Linked DNA regions of Nothobranchius furzeri. Each later gene encodes a partner of the first gene's protein in a complex. Links are inferred from orthologs where the notes say so. Each region holds a gene or a part of one and is shown on either strand. Other genes may lie near its edges. The genes, in order: gtf2e2 and polr2g.

Region 1 (4,615 bases):
CCGTCGGTTTGATGGAGTTGTCGCTTTCTCCGTTGTTTGGCGTTCTCCGTGAGTGTTTCTCCACGGGCTGGACACAAAGAGAACGAAGTTTCTTTTGTGCTGAGTTTGACAACTTACAGCGTCTCTGAGAGCTGGATGGAGCTCCGCTCGTTCCCAGTCAGGTCCTGATGGAGTTGGAGTGGCTTTGTAGCGGTTGCGTGGCTCAACTTGGGCACTTAGAGCTTCCGCGTGCTCAAGGGAGTCGGAGCGTTCGACAAGCGTGTCCTTACCGCCAGGTATCCTGGGCAAAAGAACGAGGTTTCTTTGTCTCTGCTGAAGATTTATGGTCTTAGTTCGCGGGAAAAGCTCCACGGCCTCCCGCACATGCGCAGAACGTGTTTCTGGTATTAGGCGGTGACATCATCCCAATGCTTCCGTGTGCAAAGCATCATGGGAAATGAAGTTTCTTGGTGCTGATGTGATTATTTGCTTTTCAGAGCAATTTAAGCACAGTCATTTTGGAGAAAATCAATGTGACCTTTACATTAGCTTAACAAGCAGGTGAAGACTTACAGATACAAGTCGAACAGTAGCATGGATAGACAGCAGCGTGATGGTGGAGCAGCAGCAATACAAATGAGAAGCAGCAGTATGTACAGTCAGGGATAGTCACATGTACGTGACTTCAGGCACGTCCCTGCAGGGGATAGTCACATGTACGTGACTTCAGGCACATCCCTGAATACACCTTTTTCTCTCGAGGTTTGATCACCACACACCCTAGTGGCCAGTGGTGACCTCTGCATACCCGGATAAGCGGAGGAAGACAACAACGACAATGTTTCTTTTAAGTACCTCAAGCAGCTGCTGCAGACCAGCACTGTATGGGGAAAATACCACCAAATCATCAGCATACATGAGGTGATTGAATAACTGATTTCCCACCAAGCAACCAGTCCTGCACTCTTTTAATTTAACAGTTCATACATATATATATATATATATATATATATATATATATATATATATATATATATATATATATATATATATATATATATATATATATATATATATATATATATATATTATGAGCATATCTGGGTTTTTGGCGGTGTTTACATTGCGGAACCGGGTTATTGTGAATATTCGGGGTTTTAAAGGGTTACTGGCTGCATGTAAACACACCACTTTAAACCAAAACTGAGAGTCTGTAGTTCTAGCAAATGGCATCAGTTTGTCCAAAAGAACATGTTCAAGCACTTTAGACAAAACATTAGCCAGAGCTATAGGCTGATAATTTTCTGAACTATTACTTCTGCCATTTTTGTCCTAAATTAATTTGGTTGCTGATTAACCAATGATTTAAGGATTTATCAGTTTGAGCAATCTTATTCCCTGTATTTATCTGGCTTATACACCTTTCTGATTGAATTGTAATACCAAGGTATATGGTTTAATTGGGATATTATCACACAAGAGGACCTGGCAGCAGCAAAATGGCGACTTGAGCTCACCTCCAGTCGCATATGATTGCCATCATAGATATAGATATGTATATAAACACTATAGCTGAATCATAATTATGAAATAATGTTTTTTTATCTGAGTGGCAGGAATGGGCTTCCATACAAAAATGATACATTTTTTTAAATGCCGGAAAATATATTTCAATATATCATAAAATGTGTGTTTAAGAGTCCGAAAAAAGCATCACTGAAATGTTTTCCACGCATGTGTGAAATGACGCAATGACGTTCAAGGATTACCTATCGATGTGGGAGTAGTCGAACAGAAGAAACGGAAGTGTTACATAGAAGAAATCAGTGAGAAGTTTTTTGCTAACTGTAATTTGTTTAGTCGCAGAAACAACGGAAAACACGATTTGGAGAGTAATATATTTTGTATCGTTCGTCATTAGTTAGTCCTTTTGGACTAACTAGTTTTTGTTCTGAGTGAAGAGAAACAAAGTGTCAGGTAACGTTCACTAACTGAACATGCTAACGCTACGTTAGCCACCAGAATAGTGTATAATTGTGTTTCGTTTGCTCAGTAATTTAGCACTTTTCGTAATTAAACATGATTGTGTTAGATAAGTCAATAACGTTAGTTTGATAACGGTAATAGGGGTTTACTGACCAGTGTTCGTTACGGTCTGGTTCATTTTAAAACTACAAGGTGGTGTCTAGTTAAGGTACACGCACTATTTTAATTCCCCTAAGCTTCCTACACCTGAAAAAGATTTAATAAAACTTTAAAATAGTTTATTAAAACTTTCCATATTTTCAAGAGAAATACAAACAGCTGGGAGACAATTCACCGTGTAAAAATGACAGCACTGGTATGTAAACAAAACAATTAGTTATTTTAAATATTTTTAAAAAATGAGTGTTAGATCAGAAACATGTGAATCCATTTGTTTGTGGTATATTACTCGCAGACTGCAAGTGTCTAATATATTCTGCTCCTGTCAGCCAGGATGGATCCGGCTCTACTTAGAGAGAGGGAGCTGTTCAAAAAGAGAGCCCTGTCTACTCCAGCTGTAGAGAAAAGACAGACTACGTCCGATTCTGGATCACACAAGAAGAAGAAACCAAAACTAGACAAGGAGAGCTCATCTGGCTCCAAACACAGCACTGGTAGGTGAAGCACTTGCTCTTAACATGGTTCATGATTCTCACAGTAAACATTATTTTGCCGTTGTTGCAAGTTTATGAATCCCATGTTTGTTGCTGGTTTGCTGTCAGTCTTAAAGCATGTGGACTACTAGCCAAGTGAACAAGAACAAATTCCTGCTTTGCAGATTTAGTTAATATATTTAAATAATATATTTATTTAGTCTGGCTTGCCAGACTAGTGGACTACTGCTTTGAGATTATGTAGGTGACAAACAGAGCAAGTGTGACTTAAAGTGTTACACCTGATTTGAGAGTCTTGAAAACCGTATTCCCCACTCCAGATCTTGCTGCTTCTGCCATGATCTCAGTAGCTGCATATCTCTATTGTCACCTTATTTGCTGCCATTTACATCTAGAAAATCAGATACTTTTTAAAAATCTGTGTTTGCTAGCATCTGCCTTAAATAACTTAAAGTTATCACATGTACATTTTAAAAGTTACATTTGATAGTAACCTACAGTTATCATTTAGGCTGAGGATTAGAAGAGAATATGTGTCTGGACCTAAAATGTGACAAGGATGTTGAGTCTAGACTTATTCACTGCAGGATTTGTAGTAATCATGATTATCTGACACATCCATGAAATATCTGAATGAGCTCAAAACAATCAGTGGTTTTACACTGACATCAGTTTGTCGTCTAATGTAGTCCAAGTTTGGTGTGTAATTCTGAGTATAACTTGTTTCTGTGTGTGCTCACTTTCTAATTTCTCCTGTTGTCTTGGTAACAGTTGGGCTTTTTAGCTTGCAAGATGTCACATAGCAGCAGTTTCTAACCAACACACTGCTGGTGGATCCTGATGTCTCAGTAGCAGAACTCTGTCGTCGTACTTGTCTGGCCACAATGAGTTGGTCCTTAATATTAACAATGTCATTAGGATTTCTAGGGCTGCAAACAATATTTATTTTTGATATTGCACTATCCGTGTGCACAATTACACCCAGGAATTTAATAAATAAATGGCAAAAACCTAGGGTGCCTGATTGTGGAAGTCATGATTCTCAATATTTACAGCAACACTTAAGGCCCTGTCCACACGTAGCCGGGGATTTGCCAAAACGTAGATATTTTTCTACGTTTTGGCCTGTCATCCACACGAAAACTGAGTTTTTTTCACACAAAAACGGATCTTTTTAAAAACTCCGGCCAAAGTGAAGATCTGCGTTTTCTCCGTTTTGGGTGTCTGCGTGTGGACAGACAAAACCGGAGTTTTAAGGTCCGCAACGTCACTTTCCGCGACAAAAAAACGCTGACATCACGTGTGCGACCTGTGTTTACACTAGCCGACAGCATGAATGCCCTCAGAGCTGCACTCGCTTTATCAATTGTCCAAGCGCTTTTTGCTTGTTTGTTTTTGCAAGCGGAATTACTGCTCCTTGCGGAAGACCACAGACGAAGGACGAGGTTAAGAACGGGAGAAGTACTGCCGCCTACAGGTCTGGCGTGTCCTTAACAACGTATTTATCCTGGTACGAGTGGACAGAGTTTTTTTTAAAACGAGGTGGTGTAAATGCAAGTTTTTGGAGGGGCGGATATTTGTTTTTTTAAAAACCCGGCTACGTGTGGACTAGGCCTAAGTTTCTCATTTTCCCTCCTACTGGTTGAAAGCAGAATTACAACTTTCATAAGCAAACCTGTTGCAACCTGCTGTAGCTAACATTGACAACGACCTAATGCTAACACGTGCCAGCTGATACTGAATTAGCCACAAAGTAAACAGATCCACACTTTAGAACAAAAAATATTATTGTCAACTGTATTGATGACACCCCCTCCCTGTCAAACACTGTCGTCATGGAGTGGATCTGCCAGCAGAGGGCCACAGTGCTGTTCAATGTGAAATTGCTCAAGTTTCTGGCCCAAGAAACGCTGAAACCAGTTTCAAAACAATAACTTACAGTGTTAGATCTCTTTAGAGTTGCTTTAATACATTTACCCATCAAATTTATTTCCAAA
Region 2 (4,445 bases), on another chromosome or scaffold:
GAGTAAAATAAAGAAACAAGCTAAATCATCACATATCTGTGGCATCAAGAAGCATCTTCTGAGTTCAGACACAGGGATGGAGCACAATGTTTACACCTGAACAGTATCAGGATGTTTTAACTCACAGAGGCCTGCAGGTCTTCTGTTTGATGAGCAGAGCGCTGATAATCCGCTTGTTATGAGCGCTAAACGTTATTTTGCTGCTTCCATGCGGAGCGGTAGAGAAACACATTTCAAACACGGAACCGAGTCCGGCTACCGAACCGAGCAGATTTCTGATGACGTCACACCGGTGCGCGAAGGTGCGGGTTCCAACCCACAGGAGAGAAGAGAGAGAGGAGGTAAACAGCGAGTTGATCGACTGAACTGATGTCTTTGAGCAAAAGACGCGGTGATCATGCAGGTGTCTCTTTCTGTTCCGACGCTGCAACACGTAATATTTTTAATTTATTAAGCCTATAATTTATTTTTACTCAGTAATGGATATCATTTAAAATGTAGTGAATTACAATTCTTTTTTAAAAACTTACTCAAGTAAAAGTAAAAGTACAGCTTTTAAAAACGACTTAAAAAGTATAAATATACAAAAAAGCTACTCAATTACAGTAACGTGAGTAAATGTAATTCGTTACTTTCCACCTCTGCCAAGTAGCACCAAAGTTGTCAGCGTGAGTAAACAAACGTACTGCATGCTAGAAATTAAGTCCGGGTTGCAATAAACAGGAGTTTTCCTTTAAGCACATAAGCGTGAATATACAACTACGTGTTGGACTTGGTATGCTAATTAAGTTGGGCTGTGAAGCGCCTCCCAAATTCGCTGTTTATGTTTTTGTTTATTTATTTGGCAGACAAAACTTGGATCGGAGACAACTCGCGTGGGAAATTGCAATGTAGCCATGCGGCGTCTTCTTCTTCTGTTTGTCTGGGAGGCGGAGGCTGCTTTACGGCATCTGGCTGTCGTGCGTGTCGGTGTACTTGAAGAAGGCTGTGTATAATAGTCCATAATATCGATACCACAGGGATGGAATATCTCATTTAGATACCACTTTTAGTATCGATTTATATCTGGGTATCGATTTTTTTGACAACACTAGTAGCCACAGCTGCCCTGGGGTGCTTTGACAGAGGCGAGGCTGCCGAGCACTGGCGCCACCGGTCCCTCCGACCACCACCAGCAGACAATGTGGGTTAAGTGTCTTGCCCAAGGACACAATAACAAACTGAGCGGGGCTCAAACCTGCAGCCTTCCGATTACGGGGCGAGCACTTAACTCCTGTGCCACCGTCGCCCCAAGGGAGCATGAGGCAGCATTTTCACGCATGGATCAGCCACCACGGTCCAGACCTCAACCTCATTGAGAATCTTTGTGATGTGCTGGAGAAGGATTTGTGCAGCGGTCAGACTCTACCACCATCAATGCAAGATATTGGTGAAATATTAATGCAACACTGGATGGCAACAAATCTGGTGACGTTGGAGAAGCTCATCGAAAGAACACCACTGCGAATGTGTGACGTAATCAAAGCTAAAGGTGGTCCAACGAAGTATTGGAATGTGTGACGTTTTTTGGATGGCAGCTTTTCTTTGGGCCAGGCAGTGTGTATAAATAATATGAAGTAATAAGGAAACATGAACTAAACAACTGTAGTGACTTTAAAAAAGAACATAAACTCACAATGTCATTCTTGTCGACTCGTGTTCCCACGATCTTCAGCCGGATCTCATCATCTTGCTGGATTACAATGTCCTATAAAAAGTAAGAAGCATCAACAAAAGTGTGATAGAGCAACATTTACACATTAGGGGGAAAAAAAGCAGAACTTTTTACATGCTGAAGTTGATTTTTATTAATATGACTGTTTAAACAAGCAGCAGTAAAATAGAAAAGTTACAGATATTCAACCTCATCGCCAGTCTTGTAGCAAGGTGGATTAGAATTGGGGTCGAACTCCATTTCTGTGGGGATGGACTGAAAATAAAAATATGATCAAAACAACATTAAATAAATAATGAAATAAAAAGATGATTCTAGTGAAACCGATGCTTTAACAGACTTACATGGCGAGAGATGAAGCAAGACATGGGACCGATTTCTGTGAACAATCCAACCTGCAAGCAAACAGAAAAAGGTTAAAAAAGGCGAGGCGCAAACGTACTGGCATAACAATCCTCAATTTGTTTAGTTTTCACAAGCGTGAAGTTCTGCTAAAGAATTAAGATCTGCTACGAAGAACAATGACTAAAGATGAGTGAGCCATACCTTGTTAACCTGAGTGACCACAGCGTCCACCACCTCGCCCTTAAACGGGCGGAAAACAATGGCCTTGTACTTGACTGGATAGAGGACAAAACCTCTGCCTGGCTGGATGACACCCGCTCCGATGTTGTCGATAGTGGTTACTGCAATGACAAATCCATACCTGGGAAACAGAAAAAACAAAAGAGTTAATCCAACTTTTTAACAAGGCAGCAACACGTTGATCTAGTTATGCCATAGTCAATGTTTCATTAACGCTTTCAGTCGTTGCAAAGCCCAGTTAAAGTTATCATGAACAATAATAAAATGCTGTTACTCACTTGCCAGTACAAGTTCCCTCTACCTCTGTGAAAAGCTTCTGCTTCACGGTGTTAAGTAGATTGGGACCGAAGTACCTGGGGTGGAGAAGGATTTCATGCTCCAAAGAAATCTGTAAAGTGCAACAAAATCCTTCATCTGTAAATTGGTTGTGCACACGTTCGTATTTTAAAAATGCATAAACCAGCCTCTGTAGATTGAGTAATGGATGAATAAAATGTCACGTTGATTAAAAATATGAAAACTAGTCCAGGTTAGAAGAAGAGGGAAAGACTACGACGTTGTTGATAAACGATCCAAATCGAAACATCCATTAAGCCTTCAGCTACCCCCGATTACGAGAACAATGTACATACTCACGTGATAAAACATTTCTTGATAAGTTTAAATTCCACCTTAAAAATATACTTTTAAATACGTCGAAGTGGCTTCTCTTGTTCTTTGTTGAAAGGGAATCATGGACGTCCGGCGTAGAAGAACCTCTTCCGGGTCAAAGAGGATTCTTGAAATTTTGTTGTAAATTGTATTGTAACGGGAAATAAAAAAAATAAAATTATCTTCAGGGATTTTTAAAAACTGTTTATTTAAAAACAATTAACGGAATAAGTAATCCGATTTAAACGAGTTCCACCGTCGGTTCATTTTAATACTGCTTTCTTGTGGCGAGGAAGTATTACTGCAGAGAGGCGTGGAAAACAATAGGCGTGACTGAAAGCCGCTCTGTGATTGGCTGTTTTTTAGTGGACTCTTATCTGACACACAGACGAAGCGAAAACAATTTATTTAGGTGAAAGTAATCCAACTTTAGCACAATCGTCATGTTGTTTAGCGGTCATTGGGACCACACTACAGGTGGTTTGAAGTTTTAAAGAACGAAATAGATTAAAATAAACAATTCTGCTACATCATTAGAAAGAAAATAGGAATTTTGTCTCCGTGGTTAAAATTACTCTCCAAGTCCTCCTTCTGTCATGGCGAGCAACCTCGTTTTCAAGTTGCTTCGTCTTCCTGTCACCTCTAAAATTGTAAGTAGCGAACCGTAGATTTGATTGTGTGTTTTGTTTATCTGACTCTTCGGCTGTCTGTGCAGGCGTGTCTCCGGTCGGGTCGCTTGTTTCGGGGTAAGGTGGCTGCAGTGGCGGCTGGGACCAGACCGTCCTCCGGCACCCTTCCGGAGAAGATCAGCCGCTATCCCATTCCTTACAAGAAGGACCTGCCTTATGATATAGTTGAGCTCATGGAGGAAGTGGAGTCAAAGGTTTTAAATTAAAACCAGCCTTTAGGTCTCGCGATCACACGCCTTTATCATTAATCTGCTCATATTTGTGCACAGGGAGGCTTCCTGCCAAATGTCTTCAAAGCCCTCTCCCACAGACCAGCTGAGTTCAGAGCCTTCTTCGCTTACTACAATGAACTGATGAACAAGGACACAGGTTGGTTTTTTCTGATGTAGTGGCCTCAGTTCAGATAAATACAGACACACGATGCAGTGTTTAGAATAAAAAGCAACCCGTTCTTCAGCACCTTCAACCCTCCCAACGTGTCCAAGCCAGGGTTCAGTGAACTAAACACTTCGTTCACTTCTTATTTGTGTTGCAAATAAGGATGTTTGTCCTGTGTTATGACTCAACAGGACTAGAGGATAACCTTTTGTAGAAGCTGTGATGCTGGATTTGTTCCAGCGGATGATCACGTGATGAAAGTGAAAAAAATTGTTAAATATATTTTCAATAAGTCAAGTTTAATTTGTGTCTCTACCTCTTTCTGTTTTTGCAGAACAATTGGGAGGAATGTGGATTTTGTATGTATTATGTTAACTAACTGAACATCTAAAGAAAACAGGTGACTCTTAAAGTTAGACTGCAAGTGT

The links.
Region 2: gtf2e2 (region 1) and polr2g share a complex: the UniProt entries of both Homo sapiens proteins name them as parts of the TBP-based Pol II pre-initiation complex. The link is inferred for Nothobranchius furzeri from reciprocal best matches to the Homo sapiens genes GTF2E2 and POLR2G.

Annotation. Positions count from the first base shown.
Region 1 is NC_091747.1:77,626,888-77,631,502, forward strand, and holds the start of gtf2e2 (transcription initiation factor IIE subunit beta), read left to right. Parts: upstream 1-1,747; 5' UTR 1,748-1,956; intron 1,957-2,453; 5' UTR 2,454-2,458; coding exon 2,459-2,618; intron 2,619-4,615. UniProt on the Homo sapiens protein: Recruits TFIIH to the initiation complex and stimulates the RNA polymerase II C-terminal domain kinase and DNA-dependent ATPase activities of TFIIH. Both TFIIH and TFIIE are required for promoter clearance by RNA polymerase.
Region 2 is NC_091741.1:90,872,574-90,877,018, forward strand, and holds the start of polr2g (DNA-directed RNA polymerase II subunit RPB7), read right to left. Parts: upstream 3,101-4,445; 5' UTR 2,948-3,100; coding exon 2,936-2,947; intron 2,688-2,935; coding exon 2,578-2,687; intron 2,421-2,577; coding exon 2,261-2,420; intron 2,110-2,260; coding exon 2,059-2,109; intron 1,970-2,058; coding exon 1,904-1,969; intron 1,748-1,903; coding exon 1,676-1,747; intron 1-1,675. Other genes in the region: uncharacterized protein si:ch211-175m2.5, read left to right, coding at 3,547-3,600, 3,666-3,833, 3,909-4,008. UniProt on the Homo sapiens protein: Core component of RNA polymerase II (Pol II), a DNA-dependent RNA polymerase which synthesizes mRNA precursors and many functional non-coding RNAs using the four ribonucleoside triphosphates as substrates.